Linked DNA regions of Lonchura striata. The protein of the gene in region 1 interacts with the protein of each later gene in a biochemical or structural test. Links are inferred from orthologs where the notes say so. Each region holds a gene or a part of one and is shown in the gene's direction. Other genes may lie near its edges.

Region 1 (3,745 bases):
AAAACAATGCACACATACATTTCATCAGGATGGAATTCCTCTCTAGCCTGAATAAAATTAAATAGTTTTCTTCCTTAACAATATTCCTGCCAACTCAGCAGGGCATGAGCAACAGCTCTCAGAGCACATGGCAGAGTACAAAGTTTTAATGCGTGCTGCCCTGGCTAGGTAAGGCAGCAAGACATGGAAACATAAATGATTAAACTAAGAGAGATGTTTGAGCTTTGCTGAGCAGTTTATTAACTGTTGGAAAGCCCCGGCTCTGGAAGGCTTGGTGAGATTTGACGAACAGCACAGCTTGACACTGAGGAGGATGGCTATTTCCAGGGCTTACACATCCCTGATCTCTGGAACACTGACCCTCTCAAAATCTGGCTGACTTCACCTAGGGATGCAGCGTTTCTCTCCGGTTTGGAGTAGAAGAACTTAGAGCAGATTTTGGCTACATTTTGTCCGACTCCCGTGCTCTTCCCCCGCCGCCCGCTCCCGGCCGAGCTGCGGGGCCGGGCCCTGGCAGGCTGCGGGGACAAGTGCTGGATCCTGACCGGGGTCACAACAACCCCAGGCAGCGCTACAGGCCGGGGAGAAGGGAAAGCTGCCCATTGGAACTGGACCTGGGGGTGTTGGTCAACAGCTGGCTGAACACGAGCCAGCATGTGTCCAGGAGGCCAATGGCATCCTGGCTTGGATCAGGAACAGCGTGGCCAGCGGGACCAGGGCACTGATTGTCCCCCTGTATTCAGCATTGATGGGGCCACAGCTCGAGTGCTGTGTCCAGCTCTGTGCCTCAGCTCAGGAGATTGAGGTGCTGGAAAGTGTCCAGAGAGAAACAGCAAACCCGGTGACTGGTCTGGAACCGGGCCTGTGGAATGGCTGAGGCAGCCGGGGTTGTTTAGCCTGGCGTAAAGGAGGCTCAGGAAGGACATTATCCCTCTGAGCAACCACAGGAAAAGAGGCTGTAGCCGGGTCGGGATCGCATCTTCTTCCCAGATAGCTAGCGACAGGAGAGGGGACATAGTCTGAAGATGCAGCAGGAAAGGTTCTGATTGGACGTTATGAGGAATTTCTTCACAGAAAGAGTGATTGGGCTTTGGAGCGGGCTGCCCAGGGAGGTGGTGGAGTCACCGTTGCCGGAGGTGTTTAAGGAAAAGCTGTATGTTTGTGCCATGGTCTAGTTGACATGGAGGTGTTCGTTCATAGGTTGGACCCAATGGTCTCGGAGGTCTTTTTTTGACCCCGTGTTTCCGCAGAAGAGAGTGCGGCAGCCCCGCAGCAGCGGCAGCCCCGCGGCAGCGCCCGCCCGGCCCACTCGGGCCCGGCCCGCTGCGGGGCCTCCCTGCCCGCGCGCCCGGCAGGCGGCGCTCGCGGCGGGCGGCCGGCGCTCCGTCCCCGCGCGGCCGCGCTCGGCGCTCTCGGGCTCGGCGGCGCGGCCGGTCCGTCCGCTCGGCGCGCGGCCCCGCCCCCCACGGTCACGCCACCCGCCCGGCCGGCGCTGCGTCAGCCCGGCAAGATGGAGACCGCTGAGGAAGGTACGGCGCTCGCCCCGCTACCGCCTGCCCCCGAGCAGGGGCTCTGCCGGGGCAGCCTCGGAGGGTGGAGGGGCGCGGGAGCGGAGAAGGAGGGTGTCACCGGGCCCGCTGGGCGGGCTGGGGCTGTTCACGCCCGGAGGGGCGTCTCGCAGCGGAGCTGCAGGTGCCCGGGCCCCGCGCCCCTCCGCCGCGCCGCGGGGCGGGGCCGGGCCAGGGGCGCAGCGCGCGAGGCGGCGCGCGGTGCCCCTTACATAACCGCGGGGGGCGGCGCTGCCGCGGGCCGCACCCGGGCAGCGGGGCCGCACCCGGGCAGCGGGGCCCGCACCCGGGCACCGGGGCCGTACCCGGGCACCGGGCCCGCACCTGGGCAGCGGGGCCGCACCCGGGCAGCGGGGCCGTACCTGAGCACCGGGGCCGCACCTGGGCACCGGGGCCGCACCCGGGCACCGGGCCCGCACCCGGGCACCAGGGCCGCACCCGGGCACCGGGCCCGCACCTGGGCACCGGGGCCGCACCTGGGCAGCGGGGCCGTACCTGAGCACCGGGGCCGCACCTGGGCACCGGGGCCGCACCTGGGCACCGGGGCCGCACCTGGGCAGCGGGCCCGCACCTGGGCAGCGGGGCCCGCCGGAGCTTTCCGCCGGCTGAGGCTTTGCCTGGGGAAGGGGGGCCCGGGCAGACATGAGACCCCGGGAGGGAAAGCAGCAGGCCGGGTGCGCACGCCGGAGCAGCGGGGGAGGCGGCGAGGAGGGCACTGCCCCCAGCTCCCTCCTGCCAGCGGGCTCTGTCGGACCCGGCCGGCCCTGTGGCCCAGGGAGCCTTACATTTCCGCGTTTAGCTGAATAGTAATAACTGCTCCTTTCGCAAAGCTGACTTTGCTACTTGTGCTGGGCAATCTGTTTGGAAAATTGAAATATGGAGCAGCTGACATGTTTCTCTGTCTCTTTTAGAACAGACTAATACGTAGTCAGTTACCTAACTTAAAAATACTTGTCAAAGTATAATACTTGTCAAACCCCCCCTCAGTCATGAGGGGGATTCTATGTGTAGTATCCCTTTTTAAGGGTATTGCTTTATTTGAGATCAAACATGGATATATTTTGTCAGCACTTTTGTTATGCTTAGTTTATCACAAAATCACAGAATTGTTAAGGGTGTAAGGGATCTCTGGAGTTCATCTCCTCAAACTCCCCTGCCAAGGCAGGGTGACCAAGAACAGGTGACACAGGAATGTGTTGAGGTGGGTTTTGACTGTCTCCAGAGAGGGCCTATGTAGTTCAAGCAGGTACTGTAGAACTTTGACAGATCAGCATTTCATATTGTAGTGTAAACCAAACTAAATAAAGGATGTTAGTTGTGTTATGTTTCTTGCAGTATTGGAGCTTTGTTTGTAATCTCAAACAATGAGTGTAAATACATACTGCAGTAGCAAAGCAGTTCCAAGGAAAGCATTTTGCATCTTGGCTTTTGTTTCTTTGGCATAATTTTGAATGTAGCTTTTTATCAGGTGTCTCTTGGTTTTCCTGCTTGAGAGGATTAAACAAAAAAAGCTGGAAAAACATAAACTACTGGATGAAATGAGACACTACCTTTGTAGTAGTATCTTTTGGGTTGTGCTGTAGACATATTTAATACCCATGATCACTGATGGTTTATCAAAATATTAATGTTTCTTAAATGTAACATTTAAAGTTGCTTGCTGCAGCTCTGTAGACCAAGTTACTTACATCAATGAAATCAACCACATTTGTTGAATTCCACACTTGAAAATTGGACTTTTCTGTTTTTATCTATAAACACACACAAAGGCACATATATATGCAGCCTTAGATATTTTATTGTGTCCTTATCAATGTTGCCCTCAAAAGCTCCCAGTGGCAGCACGAAAGTAAACAGTCTATATACTCACTTTCCATAAATACCACTAGAATGTTACAACTTCTACAGTTTCAAACCTCAGATCCTACTATTAGAACTGCACACAGCTTGCCAGAATGCTGAGGAGACTTCCCAAGGTTAGAAAGCCGTGAACAGCAGCAGCAAAGAATGTGCTAGTGCCTTGAGGAAGAGGAAATATGATATTACTGTGTGCGTGAGCTTCTGCTACAAAGTGTCAGATGGACTTTCTGAACGGGTGATTGTTTGGTTGCGGTATTACGGCCATTGTGGTTCTGATGGGCTTTGTGCTTGACTGAGCTGTATTGTGGAGCTAGAAA
Region 2 (3,745 bases), on another chromosome or scaffold:
GGCGTGCTTTTACAAATTGCCAAGCACCTCGGCGATGGGTATCGCCCCTTTCATCCCGATTAAAAACTGTTCTTTACATTCTGAGCCCTGTTTCTCCCAGGATCACCTTTCCCGCTGGGCCTTTGGTCGCGTTATGTCGCGATATGGAGAGCGCAGCCCTCGGCTCCCCTCCGCCACGGCTCCCTGGAATACAAATTAGATTCTTTAATATAATATATACATAATATATATATACATATATATATGTATATATGTATATATGTATATATATGTATATATATAATATATACATATAATATATAATATATCGTAAACATATTAACGCAATATAGAAAATATACGAATTATGTTAACATGATATATTACAGATATATTAACATATTTTAAAATATTCTAAGCTCAGGGCGCGCTTTTAAGAAACTGCCAAGCACCTCCGCGCTGGGTATGGCCCCTTTTATCCCTTGTTAACTCTGTTTAAGTTTCTGCATCCCGAGCGCCGTTTCGCTCAGCTGCGTGCCCAGACGCCCCGTCCCGCCGGGGCCGTGTGGCGCCCCGGCGCCCGGCCCGCGCCCGGCCCGCGCCGTGCCCGCGCCATACCCGCGCCATGTCCGCGCCATACCCGCGCCATGCCCGCGCCCGGCCCGCGCCCGGCCCGCGCCATGTCCGCGCCCGGCCCGCGCCCGGCCCGCGCCATGTCCGCGCCATGCCCGCGCCCGGCCCGCGCCATACCCGCGCCATGTCCGCGCCCGGCCCGCGCCCGGCCCGCGCCATGCCCGCGCCCGGCCCGCGCCATACCCGCGCCATACCCGCGCCATACCCGCGCCCGGTCCGCGCCCGGCCCGCGCCATGCCCGCGCCCGGCTCCCCTCACGCTCCGCCGCGCCTCCCCGGAAGCGGAAGCGGCCCCGGAAGCGGAAGCGGCCCCGGAAGCGGAAGCGGCCCCGGAAGCGCCGCCCGCGCCGCCATCTTGGCAGAGCCGTGCGGGGCCTGACGGAGCCCCGCGGAGCCGCGGCCGCCGCTCCCCGCCGCCCCCGCGGCCCGGCCGCCGCTCCCCGCCTGTCCCCGGTCCGGGAGGGGCCGCCCGGGGCCCGGCGGCCGCGGAGAGGTGAGCGGGGGGGACGGGCGGGCTGCCTCCGCGGCCCCCGCAGCTCCTCTCTGCCCTTCCGCTTCTTCCTCTGTTTTCGCTCTTCTTCCCTCCCTCCCTCCCTTTCCCTCCTTTCCCTTCTCTCTTTCAGTCCTTCCTTTCCTCGGCTGCCTTCCTGTCTCTCCTCCTTCTGCCCTTCTGCTTCTCCCTCCGTTTTTCCCTCCTATTCCCTCCCTTTCCCTTCTCTCTTTCAGTCCTTCCTTTCCGGAGCTGTCTTCCTGTTATCCCCCTCCTCCTCTCTGCCGTTCTCTTTCTCTGTCCGTTTTTCTCTCTTCCATCCCTCCCTTTTCCGCCTTTCAGTCCTTCCTTTCTTCGGCTGCCTTCCTGGCTCCCAATCGTGTCTGCCGTTCTGTTTTCCCCAACGTTTTTCCATTTTCTTCCCTCCCTCCCTTTTCCACCTTCTGCCTTTCAGTCCTCCCTTTCCTGGGCTGCCTTCCTGTCTCCCTTCCTCCTCTCTGCCGTTCTTCTTCTCCCTCCGTTTTTCCCTCTTTTTTCTTCCCTCCCTTTTCCACCGTTCAGTCCTTCCTTTCCTTGGCTGCCTCCCTCTCCCCCTCTCCTTCGAGTCCCTCCTTTCCTTTTCCCTCTTTCCCCTTTTCCTTCCAGCCCCTTCCTCTTTACCTCTCCCTTTCCCCCCCTTTCTTTCTCCTTTCCCCCTTTTTTCTCCATTTCCCCCTTGTTCTTCCTCCTTGTTTTCTCCTTTTCTCCTCTCCCTTTCATTCCCTCCCTTCCTCTTTCCCTTTTTCCTTTTCTCTTTTTCTCCTTTCTGTTTTAGTCCTTCCCCCCTTCCCCCTGCTTTTACCCCCCCTTTTTTGATATATAAATTAACTTGTATGACTAAATTAATTTGCATAGATAAAATAATTTATGTTAAGATCCCAAGGGATTTAATTATTGAGATTTTCCATGATTGTTGCTCTGTAAGAACCCAAATAATTCAGTTTCTGTCCCAGATCCAGCCCACAGAGCGGGTTTTGTGAAGCCCCGCGCTGGCCGGGCGGCGTTGCCGCCGTTAATTAGCAGGCTGGGTTAATTGTGGTGTAATTGGCGCAGATGAGCGGCAGCAGCGCTAAGAGGGCTCCCACCACGGCCACGCAGCGGCTGAAGCAGGATTACCTGAGGATCAAAAAGGATCCCGTGCCTTACATCTGCGCTGAGCCCTTGCCCTCCAACATCCTGGAATGGTGGAGATTGGGAAATGGGAATGGGAATTGGGGTGGGAATTCGGAATTGGGAATGGGAATTGGGGTGGGAATTGGGGCGGGCTGTTTCTTACTCCTGGGAATTGGGGTTGGAATTGGGGTGGATTGTGTCTCACCCCTGGGAACTGGGATGGGAATTGGGGTGGGCTGTTCCTCACTCCTGGAACTGGGGTGGGCTGTTCCTCACTCCTGGAATTGGGGTGGGCTGTTCCTCACTCCTGGAATTGGGGTGGGCTGTTCCTCACTCCTGGAACTGGGGTGGGCTGTTCCTCACTCCTGGAATTCAGCTGGAATTCCCAGGGGGAATTCCTCACTCCTGGACAGAAGGAATTTCCCAGGCTTTCAGCTCCGACTCCCTCTCCTGGAGCTGGGGCAGGCGGGGAGGGAAACTGAGGCTGATCCTGAATTTTTTTGGGTTTCTGTGGATTCCCAGTGTTCCATTCCCCTCTTTTCCAGGCACTACGTGGTGCGAGGGCCTGAGCTGACCCCATATGAAGGTAAATCCCTACCTGGGGGTTGGCATGGAAATTCAGGAATTCCAGAGGGTGGGAAAAGGCAAAGTAATCCCACTAAAAACTGGGGAAGAGGTGAAGAAACTGAGGTGCTGCTGTCAATCGTTTTTCTCTTATTAAGAGCTTTAATAAAATAAAATTTAGGTTAAAGCAAATATCAAATTTCTTCATGTTTTACAGAAATATTCTCTAATTTATGACAAAGATAATACCAAAAATTCCCATTTTTACAGCAGAAATGTCCTGAGTGATATGGGATTCAAATTTATTTGACCCATTTTTGGGTAGAAGAAGAAATAAAGCAGGGAAATTGGGAATTGGGGTGGGAATTATTAATTAAATATAATTTATTTAGCCCATTTTATGGGTAGTTTAGAAGAAATAAAGCAAGGGGAATTGGGATGGGAATTAATTATTAATTAAGTGTAATTTATTTAACCCATTTTTGGGTAGTTTGGGAGAAGGAATAAATCAGGGGAATTGAAGATAGGACCTGGAATTGGGGATGAGACTTTTTAATTAAACTCATTTAACCCATTTTGGGCTGGTTTGCAGGTGGATATTACCACGGAAAATTAATATTCCCTCGAGAATTCCCGTTCAAGCCCCCCAGTATTTATATGATCACCCCCAATGGAAGGTTCAAGTGCAACACGAGGTGAGGACTCATTCCCAGAATTCCAGCCATTCCCATCCCAGCCGTTCCCGTCCCAAATCAAGGACTCATTCCCAGAATTCCAGCCATTCCCGTCCCATCCATTCCCATCCCAAATCAAAGAGTCCTTCCCAGAATCCCAGCCATTCCCATCCCAGCGATTCCCATCCCATCCATTCCCATCCCAAATCAAAGAGTCCTTCCCAGAATTCCAGCCATTCCCATCCCAAATCAAG
Region 3 (3,745 bases), on another chromosome or scaffold:
TTTGGCTGTTTATTCCCATTGCCTCTGTTCTCCTTGGAGTGGAGTGCTGTATGACACAATTCCATGTGGCTGCCCACCACAGGGACTGCTGCCAGCTTTTCCAGGGAAGCATCAGAGGGATTTTCTTCTTAGAGAGAACCACAAGATGGAGCAAAATGATTCCAGGAGCTCCTGTGTTTGACATCTCCCTCTTTCTGTCTGAAAACATCAACAAGAAAAGCTATTGGAGACCCACTGTGAAGCTGGAAAAACCTGCCATGGAATGCCAGGACGTGTGGAAAACAGCAAAGCTGAGTTTCAATCTGCTGCTGGGCTTTGGAACTTCAGAGAGGGCTGTGCCAAAGTTAAGGGCACTCTGAGCAAACTAAAGATCTCTCCTGGCAGTGCATCTGAGCATCTTGTTCAAATTTTGCACTAAAGGAGCTGCTGTAAGACACAGATCTGTTCTGTGCAGCACTGCTCATACAGTTTTCACCTACAGCCTGAATAGAAATTAGGTCAAGTGTCTCTGGCTGTGTTCTGTGTGTTACTGGCCACTGGTGTTCCAGAGGCCATTGATTAGGGAACACAGTGCTGGATAAGCAGCTGGGAGTGTCACCTCCTGCCACCAGCTCCAGCAGCTGCCCCATGGCTCACTCAGAGCCTTGGGCTTGGTGTTGAGCCCCCGGGACTGCTGGCACATTGGTTTGCTGTTTGTGGCTGAACTGTGCCTCAGCTGCTGCTGCCTCCCTGCAGAGCATCAGAAACTAGAAACTGATGGTCAGTCCACTAGATAGGAGAAAATCTGGTTGTTATTTTATCAGCACGTGCTGTACTGGCCTTCACCAGCTTCAAGTAAGGGGCTGATGCTGCAGATTGTTTCATGAATTTGGAATTGTATCAGTTTCCTAGCAAAAGTGAGGATTGATGGATCCAAACTTGCCTGTGCAGCCATGGCTGTTTTATTGATGCTTCTTTTTTTTTTTTTTTAACTCATATTTTCCATGCCCTGCAGGAGGTTGGATTGAATTCTCATGTGTTTGCTTCTGTTTTTGTGTTGTTCTGGGTTTTGCACTGGGGTGTATCAAACCTGAATGGTGCAGAGAGGTTACAGGAGTACAAACTTCAGGCTCTTATGCTATGCAGCAGATACCATAGAGGTGCAAGAGAAGAGTGTTTCCCAGGCTTTGTGAAAAGCTTTTGTCTTCCTTCTCAAGTTTAAATTATCGCCTCTGTGAAAACAGTGGGCTCAATGATCCTAGAGGTCTTTTCCAACCTAAACCATTCTGTGATTCCAAGGCTAGTTCTATGAACCTGAAAAACTCCGAAGTGCTAAATAATTTTGTCTAGAACACTGTCCTGCATTAAGCAATGGTGGTGGGGCCCCTGTGCTAAGCCATGGTCACTCAAACACCCCCTGAAATGTTTGGGCTTACAAGTCACCTCAACCTTCCTTGTGTTTCTGTTTTTGCAGAGCTGACCCTGAACCCTCCAGAAGGGATTGTAGCAGGTGAGGAACCAAGCAGGGTTTGTGCACTCTGGAGCTGTGACCTTGGGTTCAGGTAGCACTGAGCATTGTTCTGTTCTGTTTCACAGGTCCCATGAATGAAGAGAACTTTTTTGAATGGGAAGCCCTGATCATGTGAGTTAATACTGTTTGGTGTCTGAAATCAGCAGTTGCTGTGATGAGCTTCTAGGAGAGCAAGAATGTAAAAAAGTACTGACAGTTCTGTGTGACATCAGCATTGGCCTGCCTTCAGTTGGAAACTCCTCTGATCCAAAGAGGGAGTTACATTGGAACTTTAAACAGAGTGACAGAGGCAGCACTGGTGATGTGTACAACTTGTTATGATAACTTCTTGTACAGGTGTCATAATAATAAAATGCTCACAAATTTGTCAGGAATCCTCATTTGGGCTCCCTTGGATATATGTTACATTTACAAACACTGTAGGAAACAAACAGGTGCTTGTAGATCACACATACCTTTTGGAACATTGCCTAACTACAAATGCAGGACAAGTTTTGAGTGGAGCAAAATACACAGGTTATAGGTGAGAGGAAAATGAATTCACTTACTATTCAGTTTTTTTCTTGAAATATTGAAAGGTTCTGATCAGAAGTCAAAATTCTTTTGAAGTTCTTTACACTTCGTTAATCTCATGGTGCTGTCAAGAGTTGTGCAGTGGTTTTATGTAGAAAGAGATTCACTCTTCTGTTGGTGAATAGCTCTGATCCTGACCTGCTGTGTTTTGGGGCTGATGCAAACTCCTTTACTGTGTTCTCTCTCTTCCACTCCCCAGCTGATGGGTGTAGTTGTTGGTAGCAAAATTTGCCATGAAAAGACAAAATCTTTTTGCCCAGCATCTTACAGGTTGTCTTCTCTATTTTGTACTCCTACTCATGCTGTATCTTTTTTGGGAACTTCGAGTACATGGAATAACTGGTGATTTTTACAAAATAAAGTTCTAAAATGTCAGAGGAGAGGGGAAAAGACGTTGATCAGTAGCATCTGACAATTTCTGCAAATACTGCACAATTAAAAGATGAAGCTCCAGACCACTGAGTCCATCTTGAAGCTGGTGGTCTGTTGTTAGGGTAGATCCTGGCTCTGTGTTTCAGGATTCCTTTGGTAAGAATGGGTGATTTCCTCCCCTTCAGCCAGGGCTGGCTTGTCCCAGAGGGCTCTGGGGGCAGCAGGCAGTGGCTGTGGCCCTGCCCTCTCCGTGCCCACTGTGATCAGGGCAGGTTTCCCTGCAACCACCAGTGCTGACTGGTGAGATTCTCAGCTGGCGTGGGTGGCAGAGTTTTCCTAGCTGGGTTTGCTTGGAATGTGTTGTCTAGGGATGAAAAACAAGATTTCTGTCTCTTGGGCTCAGGCATGCAACCAATACAAAAGCTGTAGGGAATTCCCTATTCCACACAAAGTGCTTGTGTGGGTGATCCTGCTGCATGGCAAGTCAGAGCCTCTGAGTTATTTTAGACCTTGGTTAGTGGAGGTTTGGATTAGCACTGTTTGTTTGCTCATTGATGGCAAGAGTTGGCAAATGCCTCTGCTTATGTGCAGTGATTACTCCTGGGATAGCAGGTTGTGCTTCCTGGTAGCTCAGTGCCCTGAAAATAAACACTTAGCATGGAAATGGGTTGTTCTGTTGCCTGACAGCAGAGATTTTGGCTGCAGGGTCTTAGGCTTTCTGTGAGAGGCATAGTCAGCACATCTGCTTCGGAATGGGCCAGATTTCAGGTCAGACAGCTGGGAGTGTGGAAATCCCAGAGGGTTTTATGCACTTCTTGGAGCATGGAAGGAAATTCCTGCTTTTTGGTACTTCTTCCTAGCAGAGGCTGAGTACAGGTTTCCTGAGGGACACTCAGAAGTACTTCTGAATTGCTTAGAAAATACCTTTACTGATGTTTCCTGTCACATCCTTAAAGAGCAGAGGAGCTGCTTTGCAGACTTGAAAGCCCTTTAAAGTGCTGAGTGTTGAGCTTCAGGTCTTTGTCAGCGTAAAATGAGAGGCGGAGGTGCTTTAATTTTGGTTTCTGTATTGTGTGTGTGTCATAATAAAGTTATATTTTAAGATCTGCTCAATTTTGAAGGTGTGATACAATAGAAACATGTTTACCCTAAACACATTGGGTTACTTTCATCTCTTTACAAACCTTGTTAGTAGCAGTGTTTGCAATGCTTTTGGAAAGTAAGTTACATGACTTGTTTGTATTTGTCTGTGGTGGTCTCCTCCAGTGTTTTGTACTCTCAACTGTGCTG

Evidence for each region.
Region 2: the proteins of MARCHF6 (region 1) and UBE2J2 form a complex in vitro, tested with the Homo sapiens proteins (2 studies listed by BioGRID, with this or other methods). The link is inferred for Lonchura striata from reciprocal best matches to the Homo sapiens genes MARCHF6 and UBE2J2.
Region 3: the proteins of MARCHF6 (region 1) and UBE2G2 form a complex in vitro, tested with the Homo sapiens proteins (2 studies listed by BioGRID). The link is inferred for Lonchura striata from reciprocal best matches to the Homo sapiens genes MARCHF6 and UBE2G2.

The regions. Positions count from the first base shown.
Region 1 is NC_134603.1:71,766,881-71,770,625, forward strand, and holds the start of MARCHF6 (E3 ubiquitin-protein ligase MARCHF6), read left to right. Parts: upstream 1-1,433; 5' UTR 1,434-1,510; coding exon 1,511-1,529; intron 1,530-3,745. UniProt on the Homo sapiens protein: Endoplasmic reticulum membrane-associated E3 ubiquitin ligase that plays a critical role in mitigating endoplasmic reticulum stress, the regulation of cholesterol and lipid homeostasis, and ferroptosis.
Region 2 is NC_134626.1:577,486-581,230, forward strand, and holds the start of UBE2J2 (ubiquitin-conjugating enzyme E2 J2), read left to right. Parts: upstream 1-1,035; 5' UTR 1,036-1,104; intron 1,105-2,193; coding exon 2,194-2,324; intron 2,325-2,798; coding exon 2,799-2,839; intron 2,840-3,409; coding exon 3,410-3,512; intron 3,513-3,745. UniProt on the Homo sapiens protein: Catalyzes the covalent attachment of ubiquitin to other proteins. Seems to function in the selective degradation of misfolded membrane proteins from the endoplasmic reticulum (ERAD).
Region 3 is NC_134612.1:5,066,239-5,069,983, forward strand, and holds the start of UBE2G2 (ubiquitin-conjugating enzyme E2 G2), read left to right. Parts: upstream 1-1,377; coding exon 1,378-1,489; intron 1,490-1,575; coding exon 1,576-1,621; intron 1,622-3,745. UniProt on the Homo sapiens protein: Accepts ubiquitin from the E1 complex and catalyzes its covalent attachment to other proteins. In vitro catalyzes 'Lys-48'-linked polyubiquitination. Involved in endoplasmic reticulum-associated degradation (ERAD).